Linked DNA regions of Drosophila melanogaster. The protein of the gene in region 3 interacts with the protein of the main gene of each other region in a pairwise test. Each region holds a gene or a part of one and is shown on either strand. Other genes may lie near its edges. The genes, in order: Nup133, CG12496, Lim3 and CG32137.

Region 1 (8,385 bases), on a different chromosome or scaffold from region 3:
TAATAGAAGAACTAGGATGTGTGGACGGGCTGTGCGCGATTGGTTGGTGCTATTGACCATGGAGAAGTACATTGGTAAATTCCTGGAGCGGGGGTACGACAGCATTGAACGCTGCAAGCTTATTATCGTAAGCGATCTGATCATGCTGGGAGTGGATAATCCCGCTCATAGGAAGCTCCTGCTCGAGGGAGTCCGGTTCTTGGTCAACGCACCCGAGCAGTTCATCTGCAAGGAGCCGTGTGAGCTGCATGAGGAGATTGAACTGAAATTAGACCCGGATGTTGAGTTGTTTGCTTCGCTAAAGTGCCTGGAAAATGTTGATTTCCTAGAAACACCTGTTCCATATTCGCTAACATCTCCACAAAAGACGCTCACAACTCGGGACTCTTGCAAATGGAATGTCAAAGGTGTGGATCAGTTACCTTCCGATAACATATTTAACTAAATACAAACAAAGCAAAAAATAATGCGTGTGATAAGGATCTTTATATATTTTTAAGAACCAATAAAACGACAATTGAAAAGCTGTTTTACAACACTATCATAATCAACCAATATAATTTCGTAAATATTTTTCAGTTTAAATAAATACATATGTATCTATTATATTAAAGTAAAAAAAATGGGGTGAGCAGATTACAAGAAACTCATACTCCTGTGTTTTTTAATTTAATGAAAATTACTTAAACGTAATTAAAGGATTCAACAAAGCGTTCAACAAATACTTGATGCCTCTCATCAAATCTTGGAGGCGTGCATCCATGGGTGAAGCGGCCACCACTCGCTCGATGCTGGCCGTACCCAAATCCCGCGACCGGCACTCCACACACTCGATGGTTTTCAGCTTCACCTGCACGTTGTCAGCCAAAAGCCGAGAATTGTGCAGGATTCCATAGAATAGTACAACATCGCCCTCGCTTAGGAGCCGTGTGAAGTTCCCAAAGTCATGGTGAGCTCGTAGGATAACATCTGTGGTGGTGGAACGACCCAGTAGACGGCCACTCCTCTTGGTGCCCACCTTGACCAGCAGCTCGTACTCGTAGCGATTCCATCGCTGCAGTGTGCAACTACCGCTCTGAGCATTGAATGTCTTGAACACGCTCCGCCACTCCTCGCACTGCGCATCCAATTTGGGATCGCATTTGAAGTGCTGCGATATATTCTCGCCATGCAAGCAGCGCAGCATCCTGCCCAGCCAAACGGGCAAATAGTTCGCAATGGTATCCTCCAAAAAATTGGACACCCGCGAGATTTCCACTTTGGTGACGCTGCCCTCCCATATCACGGGCATTCCATTCAGAAGGGAGCAACGCAGCTGGGCTTTTATCTTATTCGGCTGCTCGTGGACAGGTTGAGCACAAAGTGCATGAAAGCGATCCCAGGGCAGAGTATTCGTCTCGGAAAGCGAGTGCAGACCCGCTCTGGGCATGGCATTGAAGCGCGGCGTATCCTTAAAACTCGATGTCATATAGGGTAAGACCAACAAGCACGCTGTTGTGATCGCCGTGATTAGCTGAAAAGGTATTAGTTAATATATGAACAAAACCTTACCATATTACACTTACCTGCAGCATTGTAATGTATTTCTGGGTAGCTCGGTTAAGCGCCAAAATGCAGGACAGGACCACTACCAGCCCGCAGGCGAGAGCTGTGCTGCCCCACCGAAGCTGCTCACTAGCCAGTCCTAAACTATCGATGGCCACGAAGACAGGCACCAGAAGTGCCACGATTCCGAACAGAGGCAGGAACAGGACGATTCCAGCCAAGCCGAGGGCTGCTCGCATCACTCCAAAAACGGTGGAACTCTGCGAGGTGGCTATGCACACTTGCAGCCAACTGAGCGTGACGCAGTGCGGGATGAGGAATGTGTAGACTCCATGCCAACGGGAGCGTTTGGCCATCATAATTAGCAGCACCGGAATAAAGAGATACAAGGCAGTGCGGCAATTCAAACAGAATTCAATGCCATTGCCAATGACAAACGATGAGAAAGTAGGTACGCGTAGGTCAAGAAAGCGCCAGCGCGTAGACACAACCTCGTCCATTTCGTACGGATATTTGGCAAGAACATTTACGGCAAAGGAAACAATCACTAGCCAGTCAGGCAGTTGGTGGGAGGAGGCGTACATGGACACGCACATGGTGATGAAGGTCAAGGCTCCAGAGATTATAGTCAGCTCCGAGTGTGGCAGCCAGGCGTCTGTGACCAACGGGTAGACAATCAGGTTGCAAATGAAGGCACAAAAGAAGTACAGGTACGGCTTCATATTGTTGCGTAAAAAGCGATGCTCCGCAATGTCCGCCTCGATGTTCTGATCCCCGTAGCTCAGGAACAGTCCCGACCAGATGCGAAAGTCCACGAACTGTTGTTTGGTTTTCAGCATCTTACACGTGGCCCAGATCATGATGCCCAGACTGAGATAATAGCTGACCAGGGGCAGCATATGCCGGCTGCTCCACCAAGAGATTGCAACGAGCACGCTGCAGCGCACGCTCAGAGGGATGACGTTGGGTATGGACACAATCAAGTTAAGCAGCCGGTGGTAGAACAGGGTGAAGAAGATAAGCGGGTGGAAGATCATGCGGTAGAAGCAGGGTACATGGTCCAAGCTCCTAGGATCCGGGACGGATAATGTGAGAGCATCATTAACGCTGGGCATTTGTCCGGCACTGTAATTGGAAGCTGCCGAAACGAGGTGAGCTTCGGTGATGAGGCGGCGTCGCTCCACATTGGCTAGGTCAATGGTGGGCACATCTTCGAGCGGTTCGCACTCCGGCTCCTGCTCGCCCTCGCTGCTCGACGAGGAGCGGTCATCATCGCGTCGACGCCGCTTGCGTTGCAGATTGTAGATGCGCCGCATTTTGCGCTCCAGCTGCTTGGGCGTTATATGCTCGTTTCCATTTGATAGGCAGGCAAAAAGCTCCCGGGCTGCTTTTCTGGCAGCCCGCTCACCAGGCGTCATAGCCAGGCAGCGACGCACTTCGTCCGTATTCTCTGCCGTAATACCGCTGCCATCGTTGTAGCACTGGCGTAGCAGCTTGACTGCATCCTCGTGTCCATTGTGTGCTGCACTCACCAGCCAGTTGACGGCCTTCTGGCTCTGATTGCCTTTGGCAAGATTGGGCTCTACTGCGGACATAGCAATCTTCATTATCTTGTAATTCTCGAGCAAATCCTTACACTCACCTATGGAATTATCGAGTAACTCTTTGGCCAGATCGTATTGCATCTGGGGGCATCCCTCCTCGGCGATGTGATGCTTAAGTTTGTTCAAGGAGGCACGATCTGTAAGGGAAAACATCTTCACTTTATGAACGTGTATCAATCAAAGCTCAGAGATTTACCTTCCAGATTCCAACGCCTGCGCTTGGTGACACCTGTCGGCTCATTTTGCGTCCAGGTGGCCATCTATGTCGAGTTTTTCGCTTTGTTTACGAAAATCTATGAAATAATTCTAGTCTTGACTTAGCGATGGCATCGTGTAGAACTTGTCTTAGAGATGGACTCACAAATATTAGTTAATATAATTATTAATTTAAAAATTTGTTTACCAAAGTTTAATTATTCATCGTATATAGTATATAAAATACATTTATGTAGTATAAATAATTTCCTATATTTAAATTTGTGTTCTTTGTGTATAATGTCGTGACTTCTAATCGATAAATAACTCAAATGTACTCAGCTGTGATTTCGATATTGCGACATCAAAAATCGATTCACACACATGCCGGCTAGATTGTTTGCTGTTGCAAAAGTAGTTGTTTATTTTTGATTTATAGGCATTTCCCAAATAAGAGCCAGCACAAAAATGGAGAGAAATCTGCAGAAGCAATTATACGGCATATCGCGCGAATCTTCACCAGGTGCACGAAGGTACAGCATGCCAGCAGCCTCGGCAGACAGCACGCGTAAATCAATTTTTGGCGGCAGCGCCAGTTGCGCCCAGATGTCGGGGAGCCTCAAAAGGACTGCCCTGACCAACAGGTATGTGCTAACTTATTCTCCTGGAATTTCCCACTCATCAAACAATCCTTTTCAGCCGGCTCAGCTTGTCGGTGCGTTCCACTCAGTCCATTGCCGGCATCCGATCCGATTACAATTCGGTAGAGAGCTTCGGTTGTCCACTGCCGGTGGTGGTCAATGAGGCACTAACCTTCGCAGGTCCAGGAGCGGGCACAGTAACAGCCAAAGTGACGCAAAACGGTTGGGCTTGGGTAATATATCAGCAACTCTCATTGTATCTGGTTCAGCAATCAGTACGATTACCTTTTCAGGTTGTCCAAGGCAGACGCCTCTTGATTTGGCAGTATAAGGACACGGCCAAGTCGGGCTCGCCACCTCGTGTGGGCAAACTGGCAAGACGTGGTGGTGGTCTGGCCCAGTGCCGTGAATTGACTTTACCTTACAGTGACCTGGGTCACAAGAGTGATTTAATCAGTGTTTTCCAGACGGAGGGTCAGCAAATGGCCTCCTGCATAGCGGTATCAGCCACGGGAGAAGTTCGGTACTGGTCATCGATTGCGCACGATGGGAACTCCGTGGATCTTTCCATCTTAACTGGCCAAGAGTTTGTCCAGCTGCTCAGTCTACCAACGCAGCAGGGCTACCTAGCCGTTACAACCACCTGCAATCTGGTATTCCTGCGAGTCGGACTGACCAACGGACGTTACACACTTCACCATAAGACTATCAAGCCTGCCACTAGCTTCCTTGGTGGTTTTGGCAAAAAGTTTGCCTCCATTTTGATTGGAATGAACACGGGTGCAGACAAGGATCAAGTAAGTATCTTCGTCCAGCATGGGACAAAAATCTCATGAAGTGTTTTTTAGACTTTGGTCGGCATGTGCTGCGAGAGCAATTTAGAAAGTGGAGAAACCATTGTGGCCGTGCTCTCTGATCGTGCAATCCAGCGCTGGAGTCTGTCCAACAATGGCAACACCGAAAACCTTCTGTACGAGGATGCGGATATGTTGCGCAGGATACGCGAAGAGTTTATAACGAACTTTTGGAAGTTCCGACTCCCAGCGGATAGTTTGGAGATCGATCTCCATCTGTTGGACTTTCACGTGGTTAAGAACAAAGCTTATATACTGGCTGGAGCTGTGAATGCTGCTCACGCTCCACAAATGTGCTACGCTCTGGGTAAGAAGTATGTGACAGCAAATCTTGATATGGTATATAATGTTAAGTATTTTAGTGACTGGCACTGCTCAAGCTGAAAGAATGCTTCTGGAATCGTTCACGCCGCTCAATATGAACAAATTCTTTAGTGCCAAGACTGAGGAGGATTGCCTCAGCGTGCGTTTTGTAGTAGGCAGCAGCCACATCTATTTGTATACTTCTAAAGTTGTGTATCCTCTGCACTTGACCAACTCGGTGCCGACAGCAGAGCTAGAGGCGGAAAAGATCGAGTTCCATCAGCACGATGATCGCATTTTGAGTGCCGTCATCTGCAGCCAATTGCCATTGTTCTTTAGTCGCACACATGGCCTAGTTTCTATTACACCGGGCGATTTTGATGGTACTGAAATGATGAACATGAGCTCCTGCAACACGCCAGATTTATATGCTCCCAATTCGTGTAATGCTAGTTTCGCAGTTGCCGATCATTCTGCTTTGACTAACAGTACTAATAATCTTCACCTTTTCGAACTGGATCCGGATGAAATGTACAACGAACTAAGCGATGAAGTTGGTCAACTAAAGGCAGCGTTCCTATATCACATGAAACGCAACAGCAATATGGTCAAGACGATCGTCGATGAGCTGCTTCGTAATGTCACTGCAGCCGATCCAAGTGGTGCACCCATGGATGCTTACAAGTTGGATCGAATTGTTATTACCATCGCCGAAGACTTGGCGGAGGATATACCAATAGCCGATCCCCGATGGGAGGAGGCACTTGCAGATCAGGAAATGAATAGGCATGCCATCGGCAGCTCTCGTTCAATGCAGATTATCAACCAACTAAGGGACAAGATCATTGCTTTCCAGCACTTCATAACGTTTCTGCATTCCAGTTTAGTTTGGGACAAGGTATAAGGACAAAATATTTATTTGTTTATTTATTTGATTTTGTTAACAAAATCAATACTTTTCGTTCCAGTTAAATGTCATACCTTGCGGAAGCCATTCGCTGAAACCCACCGGCTGTATTCTAGCCGATATCAGCGAGAAGATAGTGGCTGCTATGGCTCTGCGATCCATTCAGACCAAACTGCCCAAGCTGATTGAAGAGGCTATCGATGCCACCGTAGCGTTATGGCATGAGGAGCCTCAGGGCAGCCTAACTTACCAGGATATATTTTACGTAAAGCTGTCTAGGTTTCAAAACGTGTTCGAGGCCCTGGCGGATATTGCTGACGATCGAATCGCTGCTCAGAATCAGACCACCATATCAGTGGCCCACTTTGTCAACGAGATAAACTCCATTGTCCTAGACGTTTTGGGACAAGTGTTCAAGTATCGAAAGCAGCACGCAAGCAGCTTTAGACTGAGCCACGAAAAACTACCTTCCTACGAGAATCTACCTTGGACTGCGATGGCTGGCAGTGCGGGAGTTCGTGACACGCTGACTCGCCTCATTGACATTAGCGTTCGCTATGGCAGCCACTGCGTTAGCGAGACTGAGCTAAAGCAGCAATTGTACCAACAGATATTCGAACTAATTGATTTGGTTTTGGACGGACGGAAGACTTACTTAAAAAGCGTGCGCGACACGGAAAAGTTCAATGTTCTGCAGCAGCAGTTTGAGGCTCAGCGAAGGGAACTCATCTCCGTGCTAAGTAAGTTGTGTATTCTATTCATAATTTAAAATTCTTAAATATTTCTTATGTCTTTTTTTTTATTTTGTAGTCAAAGATCGCCAATACGAGTACGCCGCAAAGATCGCCGAGAAGTACCTCGATTTTCAGAGCCTGGTGCTTATCTGCGATGAGACGCAGGACAAGGAGCGACTGGAAGATTACACCCGCAAGTACGAGGAATATGACTTCTCACAGTTTGCCATCAATTGGCATCTGCGCCAGAACCGGCACGGCGAGGTATTCGAACGCTTCAAGGGCAACCAGACGGCTTTGGCTCAGTTCATGCGTGACCATCCGTCCCTTGGGTGGATCCAGCTAATATTCAACGGCGACTTCGAGCGGGCGGCCAAGGTGCTGTACGAGTTGGCCCAATGCGAAACGGAGTTTGTGGCGCGCAAGAAGTCTATGCTGTCGCTGGCCAAATTGGCCGCCTTCGCGGCAGCCGAATCCGATTTAACTGCCCAAGTTGAAAAGATCAACGCAGATCTTACGCTGGTCGAATATCAATCGCAACTGGGCCATGACGTACTGGAAAGCTTTGGCTTCGATCCAGCAGAACAGAAGGTGCTCAAGGCAGAGGAGATTATCAGCGTAAGATTTCACAAATTAATATACTTAATTCACTTATAAATATTACCGTCTTATTATCATTAGCTTTACATCGCCGAGGAAAATGAAACTGCCAGCGAAACGGAATTCCGTAAAGCTTTGGAACTTCTGAGCTACGTGGAACAGCCGTACGACATGCGGCACAAGATCTGGTGTGCAGCTATAAAACGCGATAACTGGACGGACTACGATCCCAACAATGCGGTGCATTACATGCAGAAGTTGCTCTTTTACAAGATCATCGAAATCTCGCAGCTGATGGGCAACGATTCCGAGAACGTTTTGCCACCCATGGAAGACTTTCTGGAGAGCGTGGAGCTCGGCGATTTGCCGCAGCAGAAACCGTTTCAGTATCTGTTGAAACTGACCTATGAGTATGTGGCCGACATGTTCAAACAGCCAGACGACATGGAACTCTAATCAAGCACCTCACATGTCTTTCTATTAAAGTTTACGTTAAGAATTTAAAATGATGGCTGGTGTTCTTGGACGGTGGACAGTTGCCTGCCTTGTTGTTGCGTCGCTCAAACGCAGGCATTATAAAATATTATAAACTAAGTTGCTTTGTCACAGCCGGTCTCTGCCGGCGAAAGTATCTGAAGTGTGGCGAACGGAGAGTCGGAAGCCCACCAAGTGTGTTCGGGGCAACTCTAGAGTCGGCCTGACTGGCAGCTGTGCTGTTTGCATTTGTCGCCGGTGCGCATCAGTTTAACTTTGATTATGACGGACGAAACAACGCCGCTTACCGATGCCGTTCCCAGTGGCTCCGGATATGTTGTCCTGCCGCCGTATCAGGGACCGGAGCGTGTCTTTCCGGGTGGTGTTTCTCCGCGTGCGCGACGCAACAAGATGCGACAGTTCCAGTGCTGCATGGGCATCACCTTTATGTGAGTGTGAAACGAAGAGTTGGAACTGCGGCAAAAGAACACCTATCCTTAGAAACTATTGCTATAGGCTCTAAATTGT
Region 2 (7,137 bases), on a different chromosome or scaffold from region 3:
TCGGCTTGCTTTCTTCGTGTCCTATCTCTTTTTTTAAGTGGACTGTTAAAGCGCAGAATGCCTCTCCATTTCGCAGGACACACCCAGCAATTAGCCAAAGGATGGGCCCGATCCGCACTTTCTTTTGCTCGAGAGTGCAGAAACTGTCGCACATAAATTTTAATTAACTTTGTTTTTAATTGTTGCAAATTTATGTTCGAGGGCTGGGAGACCTACTTCTTGGGTTTGCTCCTGCGAGTCCTTGCTGATTTTTGCTGTGGGCAAATGACAATCGAACAAACCGAAAAGGGATCGGCAGTCGGATCCTTTTTTTCGGATCCCTGCAATATGTGCTCTAAATTATTTGCAATAATTTCAGCCCCGGCCTCTGATTTTTTGCCCACTTCGCATCCTTTCCCTGGCGTTCCTTTGTTGCAATTTACTTTCTGCTCCTTGGATGCAGCAGACATCTCCCGTTGCGTATCTGTATCTGTATCTGTGTATCAGGATCTCCGTCCGTGCTCGCGCTTGTATTTTTATATGTATCTGTATCTGTATCTGTATCTGCTCTTCATTATGGCATCCATTGTCTTGCGCTGTCTGCCTCAGACGCATCCTTTGGGTGTCCTTTCGTGTGTTCCAGTTTGCGCTGCCTCTTCTTTATTTTTTCAGGGTCACAATTCGAGTCTCAGTCGTCGTCCTTAGGAGAGCATCCCCCACCCCAAATGGCCAGGATCCGTTTGCGAAACTGTCTCGTATTTGACAGTTGACAGTTGGTCGACTTTTGAGTTGGAAAGTTATGAGCATAAACATGATATTTGCCAGGGGCCCGTGTTGCTATTGCCATTTGGCAATTTATCCTTTATATAGTGCCAGTCATTTTTAGTCCCCTGCCGCCAGCGAAAATGCCAGCGTAAAAGTTATGAAATCAATTAATCATTTCAGCTCATTTATGATTTAATGGCTTCACTTTTTTGTGGTTTCCGCTTAGAGTCGTAAAGCATGAAATCCCCACAACCTTTTCGCAGCGCGTTAATGAAGTCGCAAACTGGCACTTTCCTACTTTCCTACATTCCTACCGCCCAATGCATCGCATGGCAATATGCGAACTTTCCCCTTTCGCAAACACTTTCCCTCCATTATGCAAAACGCAAACAAAGCCGCGCGACAAGCATTTGATACACTTTGGGCACTTTGAATGCCATTTCAGGCGGCGCGCAGCAAATCAAATATCGATAAATTTCGCAAACAATACAAACACGGGCGCATTAATCAAATGCGGCAACAATAAAGCAGCCCTATCTGTTGGATCCAGCCAAAGTGGCCGATCTGCATGTAAGCACATATGCAAAGGCGTTCGAAGGGGAGGGTAATAGCGATCGAGCCTGCCAGAGACGTTCGAGTAGCTAATTCACACATTCAAGGGGTAAGTAAGCCTTGTCGCTCGCACTTAGCACTTGGAATGCACACACAATTGTCCAAGTAAACACGACTAACTTACAACATATGAGCTTAAAACATATATCGCAATCAATGGGCTGTTAACGTCAAGTCCTAATCTTAGGAGGTGCTACCTAGTTACTCTTCACATCTTAATGGTAAACGGGGTGAGCACGCATCTCTAGCGGATTCGCGAGTTCGCATTCGAGCATGCAAATCCCTCTGGAACCGCGGCGCAGGACCTCAGGAGCGCAGGACCTCGGGACGACGGCTGAGTGAGAGTGAAAGTCAAGTGGCTCTTGGCGACGCGCTCTCGCTCGAGCACGCGTGCAGGGGAAAGGGACGGGAGATGCAGCCCGGGCGGAGCGGTAAAAAATGCATGGGCAATTTGCATACAGCGATCGGGACTGGATCGTGACTTCGGGCTGTCCTTGAGGCAGGGTCCTTGGGCTCGTTAATTAAGCGTAAAATCGTCGCACACGAAATGCCGAAAATTCAAATTGAATTTGAGAGGTTTTCGTGTGGTTCTTTATCCATTTGTGTTTCGTTGTGTCCCAAAAAAACCGCAGAAAATGCGAGGATTATGGTAATTTTGTGTGGAAATTGCCGGTGAAGACTAGCCGGGATACGCCTTGTTAGGCAGGATGCTCGTTAAATCATATTAATCAACATGCCGGAATCCTTTCTTAGCGCTGGAAACTCTCTCAAAAACCCATTTAATCCTTTTGTGCGGCTGTGTAAACAGCAATAACTCAGCGCCACAAAGAGAATCGAAGGACTCGGGGACATAACGAGGGCAAATCGAAGGGAAAAGAGGTAAAAAGTAAGCAAAAGCAGGAGCGCATTTCGCAAAGTAAACGTTGAAAAAGAGTTGAAAAGTTGAGAAATTCGCCATTTCAGTGGATGGAACGGGGTAATCGATTAACTACCCCAGCACCCTTTTTGTGTCCCTATCCAGGATGAAAGCCGATCGGAAGATAGTCACATGAAAACATATGAAACAAAACGACTTTCACCACAAAAAAGCCGAAAAGGATAACGTGCGAAATATACGATCCCCGTTAGCGAAAATCTTTCAGCAATCGATCGCAAATAAAGATATCTCCAGGGGACCAGAACCCATTCAAAGATGCCTTTACATGCTGAACTAGATCAGAACGTCAGATAGCAAGCCACGTCGGTCACGGACACTTTGAGTGATCCAAGTCCAGGAGATGACGAGCGCCGATCACTTGAACGTCACTTAGGATCGCTGGTCGATGATCACTTGAAGATCACTCAGGGATCTCGATGATCACTTCATCTACAGCTGGTCAAGAGCCACATATGGGGGCAGTTATCTTTGATCTTGTCATCGGAAATATAATCTACTTATTGGTTCCATATTTCATATTCATATGGAGGACAGCGGCTGTGCTTTAAAATATAGATCACTACAAAGGTTATGGGAACCATTTCCTTTTACATTTACATTTCAAAGTTAAATCCATACAAGTTGTGAATTTGCATTGCATGAGGCCCATCTATTTGTAGAAAGAACACTTATTAAAAAGTTGATAATTTGATAATGCATACTGTGTACAAACTTTTCCCCTGTTGGGTGAGCAACTGACGCTTTGCACAGGACTTTTCCCAGAGTTTGTAACGTTTTTCTAATGCTTCCTTCCGGAAGTGGCAAACATTTTCAATTAAAGCCGCCGAGTATATAAATTGCATTTGCGGCCGCTAAAGAGCCGCAATTAATACTGATACCGCGCTACGACAAGTGGCTAAAATGACGAGGAGCTGTCGGCCAGGAAGTTGGACTTGGCATCGGCTAATTAGCCGGCCAACCTGACTTCCCTTCTCCCTTTTCCGTTCACTATTTTCCAGCCTGTTGCTGCTCTAAATGTCCATTCAAATGAGGGGGAGACAAGGGCGAAAGGAAGCAGACTTCCTTGAGGGGAATGAAAGCAAATTTAATAACCAAGCGCTGGCCGATAGACATCTAGATGTCATTTTCGTGTGGTGGTGCTGTGGATGAGTGCCTGGATTGGAGTGGGTGATTCTCGGCCGGTACTGCGAACTGTGGGAAAGGACGAATACCTCCAATACCTCCATCAAAATATCAGATCTCGTTGGCATAGAGATCATACTTTCATATTCTAAGCTAAGCTGCTGATATCCTCGAGCTTGTTGCTCAAGTTCCTCGAGATCCAAAGACAATTTGCTACCACACACATCCGTTGGCCAAAGAGAGTCTTTTCATCCAAGGAGAGAACGCCGGAGAGAGCGAGTGTCCTTCTGCCCGCCGGGGTGCCTCTTGCGCAACAACCCCTAGCCCCGTAACCCCTAGCCATTAACCCCTGAGCGCCGAGCGGGTATAAAACGCAGCCCGCTCCCCGTACCGCTTCAGTTTGTCAGCGAGAGCGGTCGAGAGCAGAAGACTAGCAGAGTCTAGAAGTACATCTTTTTTTTTTGTGCACCAGGAGCAGCAGAAACAGAACCACACACAACATGCTGAAGTGGACGGCATCGGCGCAGCGCCTGAACGAGATTCCCGTGCACGATCAGGATGCCAACCAGCCGCAGAGGAGGAGGCTGCAGAGGAGGCAGCGCCGTCAGCGGAGGGCCACCATTGCCAACAAGGAGAACGTGCCTGACACCGTGGGCTACACCTCCACGCCAGTGCCCATTACCCGGCTGCGCAACAGTCCCCTGGTCCTGGCGCCGCTGAGCGATATCCGGAATGTCACCCCGGAGGCGGTGGTGCGCAGTCAGGCGCCCCAAAGGGTACAGAGTGTGCGATACGCCACCACATTGCCACGTTTTGCCGAGGACTACTCGCCCAACGGACTGCCCAGTGGTCAGCACTTGGCGCTGAGGGGCCTGGCTCCGTTGGATCCCTTTCTGGGCCAGCCGCGCTATATTGTAGGCTCGGGTGCAGGAGTTAACAAACTCAAGCAGCGTAGACTGGACGAGGACTTTGTGGCCACCTTGGAGCCGGAGTTGCAGGAGACGGCAGTGCCAGAGCCACCCACCCCCAAGGTGGAAGTGCGTCCAAGCACACCGCAGCCCGCCTCCACGCAGATGGGTGATCAGACCTTGGATCGCCTAATCGATGCCATCTTGGATTCCGCCTGCAAGGCGAACGCCAGCAGCAAGAAGAAGCCGAGAAGGTCCACCTTCAATCTGCGCAGACGCACCTTGGTCAAGCAGCAAATGGAGTCGAACTGCCCCCAGGAGGTGCTGTCGCCATCCTACGCACCTGGAGACGATCCGGCCTCGGATCTGAGCTTTGGCCTGGTTCCCCTGCCCATGCACAACCTGATGCCCACTCCGGAACCGGCATCGCCCCTGGCCAAGATTCCTCACAACTTGCTTGTCCAACTGGCCACTCCAGTGGCCCCCAAGTCTGCCCCCTGCGACAACACCTTCTGCCTGGAGACTCCAGTCAAGGCCCTGAAGAGGACCCGCAAGGAGATCGTCGCCAAGGAGTCCCCCATTAAGCGCTACAAGGTCGACGAGCGCAATTACTTCGAGGTGGGATTGGCCCTGCCCTCGTCTATATATGTCTGAGCAGAGGTAATTTCAAACAGATCCTCGGAAAGCCACAAAAATGAGAAGAGAAACTAAATGCGAGATGGAGATGAAGATGGAGACGAGAAAGCGAGCAACGCTGACAAACGGGGGGAAAACGCTTAACTATGACGCTTAACTAGTTCCTAAGTCGTAAACTAATCATCTTTCAATTACTGTACATAATTTCTTAGGCCACCTTAATCACTATTTATTCCAATTACTAATATAACCATTTTTTTTTTTGCTGCTGTTATGTAGTTTTCGAATATACCTTTTTTTTCATTATTTAATTTTAAACAAATATGAATATTTATTGCTACTTTAAGTTACCCAAATAATTATTTTTTCAAAATAAAAGCATTAAATCAAAAACAATGGAGTACACTTTTCTTTTCTTTTGAAACGGGGAAAACTTTATATATCAGCTTATCATCATTAATGTCGCTTTTTTGAGTAACTTTGGCTACTTCCATGCGTACTGCCCAATATAGGGATATGGGATTGTATTGATTTCAAAATGGTGATATTTGAAAAAGACTAGACTATCTTCATAGTCTAGAAATGTTTTCTCATGTATCCATTGGAATCTACTCTTTAAATGTTAGGTTTATAGTTGGTTTCTGAACTATTTTCGAGATACGAACAAATATCATTTTTGTTGTGCCATAGCATCGCATCGAGTTTTCTGATGAATGCGAAACATCTGCGGTGACCTTCGTCACCTACGCAATATCCCAGCTCGTGCCGATTGCATTTTGACCTGCCGATACGTACAACATATATTTACACAGTTGCTTGACCAAGCGATTTGCTTTGCTTTTCCAGGCGACCAAAACAAACAACGGCGATGCAGGTTGGGAACTGGGAATAATTGAATGCCTGACAGGTACAATGGCACGCCCCGGGATCTACAATCAAGAAGAAAAGAAGAAGTCAGAGGCAGCCAACAGCTGGTCCACTCCTTGTTTCCGAGGACTCAGGACTCTGCGTCCGCTGTGCTGCTCAATTGGCTATTTTCCCATCGAACTATATGACGATATGTTATTAAATATTCATTGTGACCGCTTTTAAAGAGAACACATTTTGCGGACACTCGCTTATCATAATTTAAATCCATTTCAAAATCATATTTTACAGCAAATGAACTTTTTAAAGTCATCGAAACGAAATCAACCCCCGATTTTCGCTTTTGTCTGCGAGCTTTAGAGCTTAGAGTAATCCAACCAGAAACCGTTTTGCACATATTAGTATCCTATTAAAAAAAAATCGTAGGCACCCTTGCAGATGTCCATGTTTCGAAATCAAATTATGGAAACTGCAGTGTTCTGCTAGATCATCCGTGAAAAATCTAGCTATGTTTCCATGCTCCGACTTTTGGCACACACGTCATCTCTAATCCTTCGGCACATGACACTTGTTGGCACGTTGACGCCCTCGCACACACTTTTTGGCACTGTAACTCGATTTGAGTGCGGTATGGATAGTATCCTTTACCTATACTCATAACCATGCCAGTACCTGTCGCTGTTCCGCAGGAGCCCTACTGTAAAATCCCAAATAAGAAGACTTTACTCGTTGAGTTTTTGTAAGAAACTGATTTTATTTGGAAATATCTTTGGTTTAAATAGGTGACATGAGAATCGCATCTTAAAGTAAATGGCCTACGCAGAGGCCTAAGTAAATAGTCCCCGCCTTATCGAGGTCCCACGCTCGGGCACATCTGCCTATCTTGAGCGGCGAGGACCTTATCTGTGGTCTCCCACTAAGGGACTATTTTAGGAGGCGGGGAACGATCTCAAGTGACTGACTCATGTAGTGTGCACTTAAATTACATGTTTTTGAGCAATGCACCCATGTCGCCTTAGATAACAAAATCCTAAATATAATTTATCGCTCTCGATTCATTTACATAAGATATGAACGGAGCCCAAAATTGTAAGTCTTTAAATATATTCGTGTTCATGTGTGAACATTCTGCCAAAGGGCCAGCAAGCTGAGATGTACATTAGTATATTAGTTGCATTTATAACAGTAGTGGACTGTATTTATTTGATATATGTTCATTTATTTTGCAACTAAGATTTCAATGGGCCTAGTTTTTCTGGCTTTTAATTTTATTGGATTACAATTATGGTTTATATTATTTTTAATTCAACA
Region 3 (7,886 bases):
AATGGCGGCCTTGCCGAATTCCCGAAACTCCTTGGCATCCATACCGCTGACAATGTTGCGATATCGTTTTCTATTTGCACTTTTTACGTTCTGTTTGTTTTGGTTTTATTTCCCCGTTTTCGTTTTTGATTTGTTTGCCCAACTCGATTTCAGTTCCCGATCCGTTGATGCTCCTCCAAGTTGCCTGAGGTTCACTCTGAAACCGATCGCCGGTGACGGCTGCCTTTTATACTCCGACTTCTCTGGACAGCCTCCAGAGCTGTCGGTTCAGCCAATCTGGCTAGTTTTGAGAAATCATTAAAAACCGGCGCAACTGACTTGTTTTATTCTTTTGATCTAACTAATTTAGCTTTGATTCGTTGATACTTTAAAATTCAAATGCGAAGTTTGTTCAATTAACATAATCAAAACATTAAAATACTGTTGAAAGTTTATAGAAAGGAGTGTGTACTATTTTATACTACTTACACAAAGGGGTATATAGTAATAGGTTTATTCTTTTATACGAGAGTGCCATTCAAATACTTTTTTTTTCAATTTAGCTATTAATTTCGAAAATACCTATATCCGATTGCTCTGCACAGTGATTTGTGAAGCGTGTCCAATCTGCGAGATTAGGGAACGAATCGGTCACCGGGATTATAGTTGGGTTCGTATATTTCGTGCCATATATTTATAGAAAAACAATTACTTGGCAATTTTCTTAATCGTTGAGTGCCTATCTCCTGAGCATATTTATCGCATAGTTCTTTGAATCGATAAGGATTTCTCAAGTGTTGCGTTGATTTGGCCAAAAGATTTTGTTACCAACGACACTCGAACAATAGCTGGTGGGAAATCACTTTGGGTCACAAACTGTTCCCACTTTTTTGTTGGTCGGTTGGCGCTCTCTTAGCCCCTCTCTCTTAGGCAAATTGATGACAGAAATTATAGTTTTAAAACCAATTGATTATTGTTGGTTGTTATTGTTGTTGACTCTAATGAACAATAATTGTAAATTCACGTGTGAATAATTTAAGGCTCTTAAAATGAAACTCTTTCAAATTTGTCTCTTTATCACAATAAAAAGTAAAAAAGTTCAGTATTAATAGTTTTTAATATATAACGATCATAAGCTAATCAAACGTGTATATTCGCTATATTTATCCGAATTTAATTATCATGGCAACACTTTTCAGATACAATTAGTTTTTTTAAGTAATTATATGAAATTTAAGTTTTAACTGACCTTTTTTTTTATATCATTTTTCTAAGAAAACACAATGAAGAAAGTTGCTTATGATTGTTCTTCCACATTAATTCATTCACATTCACGCACGTATTTAATATGAATATTCATTTAAAAAAAGGAGAATCTGCTGGATTTTTTCACCATTTACATATGTATATAGCTTACCCAACTGAATCCAAGGACTCCGATGCCCGCGATCAGCAGCTCACCGATGATGGAGCCCGCCGACGAGGATGACGGATAGAAGGCATTGAAGTAGGGCGATTGCCAGTGGGTCAGACCCGGCAGGATGATGTTCTCCAGATCCTTGAGGACCTCGCGCCAATGATCGGGCTGCTCGGGAATCTCCTTGGGCAGCTGATTGATCACCGCATATGGAGCCGTGCTGGGCAGGACATCCCTGTTGGAAGAAACACAGAATTTAGAGGCATCGCTCCAAGGATAAAAGTCCAGACACACACCTCTCACGTATGCCGCTCAGATAGTTGATAAGGAACTCGATGGAGGCATGGCCAAATTCACGGAACTCATCAAAGTCCATGATCCTGGTTAATCCAAAAAAAAAGGCGCGATTTACTTTGGGGGGGAATTTGGGTATTTAGCCGCTCCGCTGGTTCCGCACTTGTTCACCGCTGACATTCGAATCTACAAATGAGCTGGCTGCGCTTTAACCAAGTCTCAATGAGCTCCGAATCTCGAGACCCTCCAATAAAAAGTTTGGGGGGGAACTCCAACAACGTTAACAAAAATCCGGCTATGTGTGAAAATGTGCAGTGGCAGCAAGTTTTTTGTCTTTCTGACTGGCCCATTGCCGAGATTTATGTTTATGTAACTACCAAAAGACACAATAGCGAAAACAAGATCGCCGGACAAAAGTTAAAAATGTCGGTGAAGAAAATTTAAACAAACTGCTTGTTAATTGTCTATTAAAATGTGTTATCCAAACACTAGCACTGCTGCTTACTAAATCTCCGCCATCCCCCCCAAAACCCACTGCCGATCCGGTTCCATATCATCACATCATCAGCAATTAACCGTCCCAAGTCGAGCCCATTTGGCAAAATACTTCATGTGTCTAACCATTAACGGCTCCATTAGACAGACGTCTGCGACAAAAGCGTTGGAAAATTTGAAAGTCAAAGTCGATTTGGTAACCGCGGAAGTGAAGCTCCGCCTGGGATGCCATAGATTGGGATCGCGTTGGATTGAGTGCATCGGTTTCATCAGCCATTTCCATTTCCATTTCCATTCACGATCAGTTTCAGTTTCAGGGTCACGCTGCATTTTTATGCTCTTACCCTATATTTTTTTATAATCGGTACTAGTTGGGTTCAAGGGTATGCCGTGTTTTCGTGTTGTTCCGCACGCGTAACGAAAGCCCAATAAGAAAATGCTGAATGTTTAATAAAGGAAATATGTAATATAGTTTATACAGTTTATAGTTTAGCTTCTGTGTAATAGTATCCAATATATATTACAGGCAAGCTGTAAATGATGATGATACAAAAGTCTTAGTATAAGTATGAAGTAATACATTTTACAGCATAAGATGGAATCATGTTTTTTTCTAATATTTATACGTACTTTGTATCTGGCATTTTATGCAGACTTTCTCAGACCGGGCATACTTTTCGAGCGACCCACGCACTCCAGCTGTTCGCGTTCCTTGCTCCGCCGCAGCGCGGAACCCAACCCACAAACGACCTTCCCTGCTAGTGTCCACTTCGGTGGGTGGGCGGAGGTCATCCGTTGGGAGCGGGGGCGTGGGGTTCTCGAGCATGGCGTTGGGGTTCAAAGTGTTTGGCAAAGTATTTGGCGCGCTCTAAGCGGCTCATAAATAAATGCGAAAACAAAATCGTTTTTGCAGACGCAACGCATTTAAGGGGTTTTCGGGACGGGTGGCAAGTATCCACTATAGATATAGGGGTTCCGAAACTACACAGACAGCGAGAATCCTATGCAGATACAGCGAACTCATGGGCAACGGGTGACTCGGGCATGGAGTAGCAACTTCCCCCCTCTCCCATCACCCTGCCAGCTTTGGGTTTTCGAGTGCGCCGGCGCTGGAACGACATCGAACTCTAGGAATAGAAGCGTATGGCCACCCCAGCCCCATTTTAATGGCGACGCTGGGGCGATAAGATAATGGCCACTGCCTGCGCATGCCTGGAAGTTCTTGTTGCTTTTGGACTCTATCGTCGGCCGATTTCCAGCGATTTTCAATATAAAGGGGCGGTGCCTGTTTTCCAGTGGAGACCCCGCATTTTTGGTGACCGCGCGCCGCGTATTGACTTGGACCTTTGAGTTAAGTTTCTCATATTTGTTTCGCCTCAGTCGACGTCGCTGCTGACTTTTAAGTGCTGTTTACTGTTGTTTTGGGGCCAACGAAGGTGTCGCGCTCGACGTTGGTTGGCTTTTTGTTCTACCCACTGTGCTGTTTTCCTTTTTTCATTTTTTTTTTGCCCCTGCACTTTTGCAGCTCAAGCTTCTTGAGGCAGAGGGAAACAAAAAAAAGTTTCCACACCTTCTTTTTTCGACGAGGCTAAAGTTTTTGCGTTTTACAAATATTGTAATGCTCTTGGAATTTGGACTTTTCGGGCAAATGGGCATCGCCAGAGAGCGACACACACATGCGCACGGCCTCCAAAAAGAAGCACAAAAATGTTGTCGCTGCTGGCGTTGTCGCCTCGCCGCCTTGTTGCCATTGTTGTCCTGCCATTCAGGGCTGGCTGTATGCATTTTACCATATCATTTGTGTCACATTAGGATCAATTGGTAAACACACGCCCGCACACCCGCACACACCCACAGATAGTACGTATACGCACGGCGTACCCATGTGGGCGGCCAAAAGGCAAACGGCAAACGGCACACGAATACAAGACGAAAGGCAAAAAACAAAAAAAAAAAAAAAAAAAAACAACAGCGTTAAAAGCTCGCACAGTCGAGAAAAAGCGTGAAAAAGTGCGCAAAGTAAAAAGGAGAGACGACAGTTTGGACGGCCAAGAAAATAAATAAAGATGCAGCGCGGCAAATAGAGGGGATTCCCACCAGCAACAATACCAGCCGCCTGCCAGTGTTGCCGCGTCCAGGGTTGCCGCCGTACCGTTACCGACACCGTTACCGTTTCCAGACCGTTACCTTACCGTTGGGCAAACACCGTTAGCCATGCCGCCGCCATTTTGTCGCACTGGCTTCGCATTTGCCGTCGTCGTTTTCGCTGCCGAATCCGTTACCGTTACCGTTAAAGTTGCCGATGCCGTCGCCAAAATGGCGTTCGCATAAAATCGCGTTCAAGTGCCGCAGAAAATTCAAACGAAATAATACGAAATGTTGAAATAAGAAAATTAAAAACCAGCCAATAATTAACAAAGTTAACAAATACTAGAGTTGAGTGTTAAAGTGACGCAAAAAATTTTAATAGGGTAAATGCAAATCATTTCCACTGGTTTTACGATTCCGTCGCATAACGAAAGGCTCAATAAAAAGGCTAAAATTCTGAGGAACTATTGAAAAGAAAGCCAGCTTGATTAAAAAATGGAATGTTACATTTTAACAGTAGATCCTTAAAACAAAAAAGTCTATTGAGCAAATTGTGTTGAGAAGAGTTACAAAACCAAGATACGTTTAGGATTTTAAAATGTTTAGTATATGAATTTTAATACTAACACGATTGGATTTTGTTTGTTTTAAGATTTAAGGCAATCAAAATAAGATTAATGTGCGATTTCCAACTCCCGATGTTAGCCATTTTAATTTCAATTTAATCTTAGGAGCTTTGCTCCTAAAATTAAATTTCTATAAAATAAATTTCATAGTATTTTGTTTCATTTATATATGATCTTCAATCTTAACTAGTTTCCAAATACTGAAGAACTATTAAATGGAAATTTCCGATTAATTATTCTACGTTTTAATATTTCACAAAAAATAAATTGTTTACCTATTTTGTTTGTTTGAATTTCTATAAAATAAATTATCTTCAATCTTAACTAGTTTTCAAATACTGATAAACTATTAAATGGATATTTGCTATCAAATATTCTACGTTATAATATTTCACAAAAATTTTTTTTAACTATTTTGTTTGATTTGGGAACCATTAGCAGTTCGTTTTTGATAAAAAAACCTTGGACATTGACCGTTTTTTGATAGATAGTATAGTGCACATCCGATTTGTTGTCTTCGCACGAGAATTCTCCTCGTGATAGACGATGAATAGATATGCGCCAAACGGTCTTTTGAATATCTACCGATCAGTTTGGCCCTATCCTCGGCTTACATAAAGTTTACCCGCCTTGCACTTGGTCGAAAGCACCCGAACAATAGATGGTCTAGTGTGCCCCGGTATCGCAAACAAATTCAAATTGTTCAAGTCCCTGGCTACTTCAACTGATAGAGCAGCCGAGCACTGAGCACGAGCCCAACCGAGTGGCAAGACTGGAATCTAGATTCTACCGTAGAAACCGAAACCCAAAGAGACCGCCGCGATAAGGGAAAAACAGTCAACCGGGCCACTGTTGGGCACAAACCAATGCCAGTTATCGAGCAGACAGCGATCCCGCCTAGCGGAGTCTCGTTTAGACGCTAAACGGGAAACGAGTGCGGTAAACTAACACAAAGATTGCTTTTTAAACACCAAACAGGGCTAAAGATACAAACGTGTGCCAATTGGAATAAGCTAACTGAAATATACATATAACTCATACGACGCGTGTTCAAATCGCCGGCCCCTCAGCAATGATGCAAACCCTGAAACCACCGCCACCGCTACATCATCACCACCAGCATCAGCACCAGCTCCAGCATCCGCCTCAGCAGCAGCCACATCCGCATCAGCAGCTGCAACATCCGTTGCAGCAGCAACAGCACCTGTCAGCCATGGATAATCACCAGCAACATCAGCCGCATATCCATCAGCAGCAGCAGCAGCAGCAACAATTGCCACCCACGCCGCAGGCATCTCACCTGGTCGGTGGGCAGCAACAGCAGCAGCAACATCCGCACCACAATCACCTGGCTGTCGACCAGGATGACCCAAATCCCGAACTGGTGCTCGCCTTAATTTCCAGGAACCGGGCGCTCGAGGGTAAGTGGCCAAGTCATGCCATCTTTGATTCAGTCCTGTCCATCTGAAGGCTGCCTAGGAGATTTTCCTGCACAGTGAACAAAAATGTTTGCCAAGAATAGTATATTATTAAAATGTTTGGTTTTCAAACTTAGATTACATTTTTGAATTTTATTTATCAATTTATCAATTTTTGAAATGAAAGAGAGAATAGTCGTATTTACATTAAAAAATATCGTGGTTTCTTAATTTTGCTTTAGTAAATATTGAGAATACAGTTTTCATGTTAAAACCGTATATTTCACTTCTGCTGTAAGTTAACCCTTTGAATACACTTTGCCCATGTGTTGGCCGCGCCTTAATTATGCAAAGTTTTTGTTTGCGCTCGCCCTTTGTTTTTATGAGCGACCAGAAAGGTCTTGTGATGAAGATGAGTTGGGGTTATGAGGTCGGTCTTTTAGGGTCACATAAGAGCCTTGCGGTTGGCCTGGCTTTGGCTTTGGCTCCTCCGAACTGGGGCTTAAGTGTTTTTCAATTAAATACGAAAGCTTTCCCGGTGGCAGACCACCATCTTCACATCTCCACATCTCCACATCTCCGAGCAGCTCATTTCGAATGCCCTTTTAGGAGGGCTCAGTGTTGCGGCTGCTCGGTTGGACCGCCTGCTTTTTTATGCACTCCGCCACGGAATAAATGTATGGTCCGAGGGGACTTCCTGCAATATATATAACTGGCAAAGTTCCGGCAGAAAGTTTTCTTTGAGGATATATGCATGGTGAATGGCTCCGAAGGAGATGATTTATTGCTGCTTGAGATGGCTCAAGGATGGTCAAAGGGATTTCTTTGTGCGAGTTGCTTATGATCCAGGCCTGTCACATTTATGATTTCGTTTCATACATGTGCCGCACTCGAAAATCCCACGCCAAATCAATCGGCAATCCCCGGACTAAAAGCCAGCCCAGAAAGTTGACAACTGACTGCGGATTGGAGTCGAGTCGAGTCGCGTCGAGTCGCGTTGAGTCGCGTCGAGAGTGGAGAAGATGACATCGGACAGGGACACGCGCCGCTGATGAGAACAAAGCCGTAACCAAATCCAATGCGAAACTGTTGACAAACTCCAAATGTCTCCGGCATTGTTGCTAATGCGCTGGGAATACCCGGTCACCAGTGGAGGCGGTCGTCCACTGCACGTGTGTTCCCGGCCGAAGTTTTCGGGCATTGAAAAGAGCAGGCTCAGCCGTTTAGCCATTTTCCCGGCTTCAAGTGCGGCGGGATTTCGTTTTTAGAACACGCGTAATTACAAACAAATAAATATAGATTCCTGGGTGGAAAGGAGGGGGGGGGGGGACGGATCCGGGAAACCGCATGTGCTGGGACCTGCGGATCGCCTTGGTCGAGCCTTCGCCACGTGTCACTAATATCCACTGCATCCCTGACAAAGTGCGTGCACTTTGGAAAAATCCAGTAAGTCGGGAATGACTTATCCCGTTTTTGGTAGAGGTCCAATTTGAAGCGGAACGGAAAATCTAAGGTATTCTTAGTATAATATATTATTATAATATCAGTATGATATCTTAAACACCTTAA
Region 4 (8,059 bases), on a different chromosome or scaffold from region 3:
CTCACTTTTCGGCTTTAAATTGGAGCGCTCTATAATAAACTTAATGGTTTTTTCGGGTGCCAAGCGATTTTCATTTAAATTGTTAATGGTTATGGAATGCATGAGGTGAGCAAGCAAACTATTATTTTAATGGGAATTTTACGGGATTAAAACACAGACTTTGAAGACACGTAAAAACTAAACTCGAACAGAGAGAGCATTTTATTATTATTGAACTTAGTTTGATATTTACAATGTATAATGTATACATATATATTGTATAATTTTGGTTTTAAACTCAATGAGGGCATATAAATTTAATAAGCAATGGAGTTGTTCTCGATTTTCAATAAAAAATTCATTGCACAAAAGTTTTTGCATATCAAAAATGACTCAAAAAGACTCGAACATATGTACAAAATTTTCACGATGACATCATCTGACTAAATATCCAGGATATTACGCGACTAGCCCCCCCGCAATTGGCCTTCGCACTTTCATTTCTCAATGAAGATGAAGTCACTCAACGTGCTTAACTACAAAAGCAAAAAAAAAAAAAGGAGAATACAAAACCCAGTTAAAGTGACTAAGCCAACTACGTAAATATGGCCCAAACCCACGGAAAATATGTACCAACGAAATTATTCAAGTTCAACGCATTGCTGTGTCCTCTGTTTGGGTTACTCACACCATCAGGTGGTCCCCAAACCATCCTCACATTTCCTGTTCTCTTTTCGTGCATTGAATTGCCATTAATCGGCGTTGAAGCCTAATTGATAAGAATACATTGTTGTTTACCGGTCGGTCAACAAAAGTACATTAGCCTAACTATCGGTTCAGGATGGAAAAGCGAGGTAACTAAGTTTGAGGCAACCAATATGCTAATGTGAACGGCCACGAACTTGAGCCGCGGCTTGAACTTCACTTGGAGCGATTGCTGGAACGGGTGTTTTATGTTTACCTATCTTCTTCTATTTCTTCTATTGTCAGTTACCTGGAAGTATCTGTAGTGTGTGTGTGTGTGCGTGTGTGTGAACAGGTGACAGGCGAACGAACCGCACCCACCCACACAGAAACCACCCATTCGAGCGGTTCAAGGTCGGGCGGCAGACATAGACTTTGGAAACATTTGGAGGTGTTGTGAACAGACTTTGCTTTTCCTGCCATGTTATCAGGAAAGTGCTCGATAAAGCCAATTTTTAGAGAGACTTCAGAAGAGCTCTTCAGCTATTTCATACAAAATGTGTAGGGTAGAACTTGTGATGGAACAAAAATCGATACCCTTACGTGATACACTATATAGTTCAGTAGTTTACTGCGCACACACACACACACAGTATGTCATCGTCCATAAAGTGACATGACTGTAACCATTTTTGTTTGTCTAAATAGTTAAAGAACCCACCCCACAATATAAATTGCAGTTGACAGTTTGGGGAGTTTGTGTGTTCAGTTTACAGAGCTGCATTGGACAGGTGCTGTGTTTCAGCTCTCGAAAAAAATCCATATTGTATATGTATTATTTAATTCTCCCGACCTGGGAATGCCAGCAATGCGTCAATAGAGGGGGTCATTTACGAACACATGTCCGCCAATAATCAATGCAAATCATCAGGTGAGTCAATCAAAATTCTGGTACTCAGGTATAACTGCCGTTGCCGATTTGATAAATGCGCCGGCATTTAGAGATAACTATTAGATTGTTCAAGAAATCATTAGAGGAAAAGGTAGGGAGCTTAAAAAGGGAAAATAATAAATGGGTCTGAATTTACAAATGTTGGTTTCACACAATTGGTAGCTAATATAGAGATAGAAGCAAAGTGATTATTTTGTTTATTGCTCACACTTTAGTAAATCAGATAGAGAATAGAGATAAAAGAACATGAAAGCATTCCCTCAATAAGCAAGATATCATTAAACTAATAATAAAGAGTGCTTAGATCTCTTCCATTCATTTAGAAAACATAACAAAAATTAATTTTTTCATTTCCCAATTCTTTAAATTGCTGCTTAACCATATTCAAGAGATACATAACTATCATCTCTATGATCTTTTAAATTGTAAGTGTATTAAAGTATAATATGCATTGCCTATCTTTTAAGTCACTAAAGTACCTTCCAAGCTATATGTCCTCTTCCTAAATTTCTTTTAATTCTAACCAATTTTCCTTTCCCCCAAATAACTGACTTCCATTTCAATTGTTTGCCATTTATAATGGCAATTCCACCTGTTAACTTTATATGTGTTTCATGACTCACCTCAATTTTGCTCGAATAGTCCTCGATGAGCTTTTCCTGCTGTTTGACCAGCTCCTCGTTCTTCTCGAGCAGTGCCTTGCCCAGTTCGGCGGCCAATAGGATGTCCGACTCCTTCTGCTGCAGCTGGGCCCAAACATCCGGCTCCTGGTCGTGTCGACGTGCCTCCATGGCGCTGATGTAGTGCTCTAAATCAATCGAATCCCCAATTAGTGACGAATAGTCGAGGTGGTCGAAGCCGGAGTCGTCCGACCGGAGTAGCCCCCCAGCTCCAGCTCCAGTTCCAACTCCGATCGAGTATTGGCCAAACTGACGTGGTCGCTTCGATTTGTTGCCACCGGAGCTGCTGCTGCTGCTGCCGCCGACGATGCTGTTGTTGTTGTTGTTTTTGGTGGATATGGATGAGGCAATGGCGGCAGCGGTTATAGCATTCGCTAGCTTTGGTTTATGCATGATCGTTAGCGGGCAGGCTTGGACTTATTTCAGGCGGGTAGGTGTGGTATGGTGTGTACGTGATATTACGGGTACGGATAATAGCAACGAACCAAATTTACAGACATAACACACACACACACACGCACAGTAAGTTGGATGCAATTAATATCAGTTTAGGTTTTAGTGCGATGCAGAGATCACAATTTTGGTAGTTGGGTTTATCGTTGGTTAGGTGTTCAGATGGCTCTGATCTGGTCGTAGGATTAGCATTAGCTGGCGCGGCGATACGATGATATATCCGAGCATAGTTCCATGGACACCAGCTGCTCCCAAAAGAGAGCAGACCCGTGGTTAAAGCGACTGATGTGTTTGAGCTGCAGTTGATTTCGGTTAGATATATAAGTATAAGTACACAGCCGTAATGAGAATTAGCATTAAATGTGGTATATATATATATGTATGCCCGCCAAGACGGGTCTAATCGTTGGCCAAAAGGAGCGACGGTCACGTTGAGCGTTTGCCAGCACGTTTTTAGTTACTTGTTATTGGGGCTTTTTTTCGGTTTTTGGTTTTGCTAGGGTCAGGGGTGTTTTGGGCAGGGGGGGGGGGATAACATATAACTACAGTGTTAAGCAAGAGGGTTAAGTTAGTCTTTAGTTAAGCTTCATGCGGCTTGGATATCAAATAGGGTTTAAGTTTCTTGCGGATTGGGGGGCGTATTGACATGCGTGGATTTATACAGGTGGGTGGATATTTATAAGGCTGTTAAGGCAGATTATCCAAAAAGAACTTCAGTAGTAGTTCCATTAAATTTAAGGGTATTAAAAGTTTATTTACAGAGGTTGCTTTAGTTAGCGAGGATGTACCAATGAGTTTAGTATGAGTCTCCGCTCTAGGTTTAAATTTCGAAATACCCAAATATATATACAATTAATGTTAAATGATTTTTAAAACATTATCGGCCAACTAAACACAACAATAGAGCCAAACGAAGGTGGCTAGAATCTCTCAAAGTCCACAGATCTCGTTTAAAATTTGGTCCGGTTTTTTTAAACTTATATATATTTTTTAGCCGTTTTCATTTGTTATATAGAAAATTCATTTGGCAAGCACTTCACGCTTAGCTGCTTTTGGTAGCAACAGCAACTGTTGTTAAAATGTATAATACGCTTCAGGCTAAGCTTTTAGCCAACACTTATTTTGTTATTTATGTGCGCTTTGTGTTTATTTTATTTTATTCGTTTTATTTTGATTTTTTTTTTGGAAGCAGCACAGACAGCACAGTTCACAAATACACAACCGATTTGGCTCAAATTGTTGGTATTATTGTTTTGCATTTCCGCTTATATATGCCGTTTTTGGCCAGAGTTTGGCATTATTATTGACAAAACAACAAAAATAACGCGCGGATTGCATGGGATATATTGGTCTAATTAATTCCCCCAAAACGGAAAGTATCCAAAGTATCCAGCAGATACTTTCCACTTTCGCAAGCGCGCTACAGTCTGGCCCTATATATCTTTTAAACTATTTGTATATATATATATATAGCTAACTATATCCGTATATGTATGAGGGCAGAAACCTCGGTCACGACGACGCTGCTCCACTCCAAAGCAGAACTTCCGATGTCCGATGTCCGATTCTCCGATTTTCGGATTCTCCGATGCCGTACAACGCGCGCTCGCTTCGCTTCGGTTACGATTTTCTGGCTTTCCCCAGCTTTTCAGAGGGCGGCTTCGCGGGGGCGTGGCGGATACGTGTGTCTGGCGCGAACGTTCGTTACTAACTGAATGGCGCTGAGGCCGCCGTGCTACGAAAATTGGCAAAACAAATGAGTAACCAAGCGACGACGACGACGAACGACTGGCTAAGCCTCGTATCTTGGCAACAACAACCAACAACATCGGTTGGCTCTCTTAGGTGGCGGTTAACAAAGAGAGTTACCAGTGTTCCACCAGGGTTGTCGAATAATAGCAACGAAGCAGGGGCGATAATCGCAGTCGAGTAATATTATTGGTTACAAAGCAACTAAGATAGCAAATTGCAATTTAGGACGCAGATAACTGATAATAGACTATTTATGGCCTAAGATATCTTCTTTAAGTCAATAAACATTTGGAAAACTGGTTTTCTGTTCAGCTACTGATAGGCATATCGTATTAGGCAAATCTCGATAGCCAAACCTAAAAATAAAATGTCATGATTACTTGGATTATTTTGGACAGAGATTTTGCAGTAATCTTACTTTAAAAATGTAGATCTAAAATCTACAAGGAAATAATTTAAGCCTTAGCATTGTGGATGAATTTTTCATGAAATCGCTTCTTACCTGGCAACCCTGGTAAAACCAAAACACAGCTCCAAAGGTAAGCTTCACTTGGCGCTCTTTTGCTCCGACTTCCTTCCCTTTTAACTGACATATGGTTGATTCGGCTCTACTCTCTTGACTGCTCTTCGCCGTTTGTTTTGCATTGGGCCCGACTTACGAAAGCGGCCAAGTGAACAATAATGAAACGGAGTGACGTTTCGAATGGGGCAGGGGGGCACTGGGGAGCGTGGCCAAAAGGGAGGAGGGCCAGAGACCTGGACCTCCAAAAACCACGACGTGCATACACACATGTACCCAAGCGTACACATTTCAATGCAAAATTTACATACGACAAGAACACAAACAATGGGCACCCAAGAATGGCAATAACAATGGGTATACACTAAGCAATTAATGGGTATATGTTTGCAGGAACTTTATTTCTTCAAATTTTTAGATTCGCGGTCATTTTGCTCTAGGCATCGAAATTATGTTAAAAAGCTAAAGTGCTCCGGAAGGAAGTAATTACAAGCTGTAAAAAATATTCAAATTGTTTCATTAACATCTGAATTTAATCTATATATTATACAGCTCAAAGTAAATGTATCTTTAAAATTTATTTAGAGATCAGTACTAATTACTGAAAATCAGTTATGAAAATGAAATATTCTATCACATACCCTATAATCATACTTCTAGCACATTCTGCTTTTGAAAATGAAAATAGGTACAAGTATGTGACCCCAATGTTTCCAGTGCATCCAAGTGAGGAAGATTTCTAAAGAGGGGGCCGTAGACATGGTCTATGTTAAAAAGCTAAAGTGCTCCGGAAGGAAGTAATTACAAGCTGTAAAAAATATTCAAATTGTTTCATTAACATCTGAATTTAATCTATATATTATACAGCTCAAAGTAAATGTATCTTTAAAATTTATTTAGAGATCAGTACTAATTACTGAAAATCAGTTATGAAAATGAAATATTCTATCACATACCCTATAATCATACTTCTAGCACATTCTGCTTTTGAAAATGAAAATAGGTACAAGTATGTGACCCCAATGTTTCCAGTGCATCCAAGTGAGGAAGATTTCTAAAGAGGGGGCCGTAGACATGGTCAGACCGTCTAGTGCGTGGTACTAAACCAGAGTCATGCCGGCTCCTCACCGCCCAGCGCCAAACTTCTCAAACAACATGCACAATAAGACACTCAAGTGGCCGGGCCAAGTGAAGATGAAGATGAGCTTCAGACCGACACCAGACCATTGTTCTTGGTGGCCAACGCCATCACCATCACCGTCTCCGCCTTCAGATCCATCCATAATGTTGATGTTGCGTGGCCGCTTGTTTATGTTGGGCTACTGTATGGGCTACTGTTTGGCCATTTACCAAATTGAGCTTTCGGATGATGGCCTAACCAGGCGTAACTAACTTTTTTGTGTTTTACTTGATTTTCGCTGGCCAGTGAGTGAAACTTCCGTGCTTCCGGCGCAGATCGATCTATAACTATAACTTTGCCGCACTGCCTAATGAGGAAGGGTTAGTGGCGTGTCTTCCTTTGAACATTTGTGGGGCATCTGGTTGGAATTCTTCGTGGCTCTGTTCATCTCCGGTTTCCATGCTGCAGTTCACCTGCAATCAAGTGTTCTTGAGCTGCCTTATTGTCTTACACTCTCGCTCTTGTTGAGCTCGGCACTCCAGCCATCCATTCATCCATCTTGGGGCACGGCTACCATACCGATCCGTACCATAGCATAGCCACCTAGCCCACCTAAACTGGTTTCGGTCTTGCTCTTGCTCTGCATTGTATCGCAGTTTTTTTTTTTTTGTTTAATTACTTCTGCTTCTTTTTATTTTGCGTTGTTCTTATGGGAGGTTGATTAACTTTTCTGGCATGTTGGTGTCACTTTTTTTTCCAAGCAAATCAGAAATAACATAGAAATTCCACTTGGCCATGGAGTTTGTTACACTTGAAGGATTACAGCGAATGAAAAACAAACCTCGAGAACTGTATTCGAATTTAATCAATTTATAATTTCATTTAATTATTAGTGATTTTGGTCAAGCCATCGTAGTTAGGCTAATATAAACAATTCAATCGATTTATGCACCTTGAAATATTTATCAGTTTTAATATACTTATCAGTTTGATAGCTTTAACATATCTGTTCGATAAGGGAGTAAACATATATCATATACCATATATATACCATCATATATCATACCATTAGAGGAATCTCTGGTTTATACAACATGCATACGTTCTACGTTTCATACGTTATATGAATAATGATTACGAGTAAATTCCTAATGAATTAATCTGTTTTTTTTTTAGGGTATACCACATGTCGTTTAGTCCACAATTTGGTGCGCACATACATCAAGTCTTTAATATGTACAATAATTATGTTGTTTTTAGCGCTCGGCATGAGTCAACGGCAACAAGTTGGGGCATTACCGGGCGTTTTATGGTCAAAAGTTTTGGTTTCTGCGGCGACAAAAAGAACTGAAACTGGATGTGGAACTGGAACTGGAGCTGGAGAAGAATAGGTATGTTACCAGATATGTGTGTCAGTGACAGTGGTGAACTCTGGTGATTTGGTGAAGGATCTGTCACTTTGGCGGTCGCTGCAAGCAGAGCGAGAAGTCCGGCTTAAAGCCGCCTGTTGCGCTCGAGCCCACTTTAAAAAAAGAAAAAAAAGTGTTATGGCCGAAAAGGTAAACAGCAACCGTATTACAAAACCCAGTGCCAGGCCATAAACAAACTACCGTAAAAAGGTCAAATGCTGGCCGAAAGCTGGGCGTGAGAATGACTTTTTGGTCAAATGGGCTCCGCAACCAAGGCGACACACATCAGAAGCCGCACCACAAATGTACAGCAAAAAAGTATTCTGTTTTTTATAACTATTTTTTAGCTCGAAAATATCAGGCGGTTTTAAACTGGTGTGTAGCAATACGTTATTTACTTTTTTTATAAAAATTAAAAAAAAAACATGTGAGTAATCTTCTGCGGAAAGCAAAATGTTTATAAGACAGAATAAGTCTTCACATTTTAAAAAAATTGTAAAAAATATAATT

The links.
Region 1: the proteins of Lim3 (region 3) and Nup133 interact in a two-hybrid assay, tested with the Drosophila melanogaster proteins (one large-scale study listed by BioGRID).
Region 2: the proteins of Lim3 (region 3) and CG12496 interact in a two-hybrid assay, tested with the Drosophila melanogaster proteins (one large-scale study listed by BioGRID).
Region 4: the proteins of Lim3 (region 3) and CG32137 interact in a two-hybrid assay, tested with the Drosophila melanogaster proteins (one large-scale study listed by BioGRID).

Annotation. Positions count from the first base shown.
Region 1 is NT_033777.3:22,686,888-22,695,272, forward strand, and holds Nup133 (nucleoporin 133kD), read left to right. Parts: upstream 1-3,719; 5' UTR 3,720-3,812; coding exon 3,813-3,988; intron 3,989-4,043; coding exon 4,044-4,218; intron 4,219-4,278; coding exon 4,279-4,782; intron 4,783-4,833; coding exon 4,834-5,146; intron 5,147-5,201; coding exon 5,202-6,040; intron 6,041-6,110; coding exon 6,111-6,789; intron 6,790-6,859; coding exon 6,860-7,401; intron 7,402-7,464; coding exon 7,465-7,839; 3' UTR 7,840-7,885; downstream 7,886-8,385. Other genes in the region: CG17625 (uncharacterized protein), read left to right, coding at 17-445; wfs1 (wolfram syndrome 1), read right to left, coding at 680-1,513, 1,566-3,130, 3,188-3,286, 3,346-3,409; cd (cardinal), read left to right, coding at 8,140-8,306. UniProt on the Drosophila melanogaster protein: Probable component of the nuclear pore complex (NPC). Plays a role in NPC assembly and/or maintenance.
Region 2 is NC_004354.4:2,407,575-2,414,711, reverse strand, and holds CG12496 (uncharacterized protein), read left to right. Parts: upstream 1-3,810; 5' UTR 3,811-3,915; coding exon 3,916-4,977; 3' UTR 4,978-5,347; downstream 5,348-7,137.
Region 3 is NT_033779.5:19,104,157-19,112,042, reverse strand, and holds the start of Lim3 (Lim3), read left to right. Parts: upstream 1-3,615; 5' UTR 3,616-4,656; intron 4,657-5,767; exon of another isoform or gene 5,768-5,877; 5' UTR 5,878-5,971; coding exon 5,972-6,320; intron 6,321-7,886. Other genes in the region: amd (alpha methyl dopa-resistant), read right to left, coding at 1-42.
Region 4 is NT_037436.4:13,935,655-13,943,713, reverse strand, and holds the start of CG32137 (uncharacterized protein), read right to left. Parts: upstream 4,465-8,059; 5' UTR 4,256-4,464; intron 3,045-4,255; 5' UTR 2,689-3,044; coding exon 2,239-2,688; intron 1-2,238. UniProt on the Drosophila melanogaster protein: Functions redundantly with BicD. Involved in formation and/or development of mechanosensory organs during metamorphosis.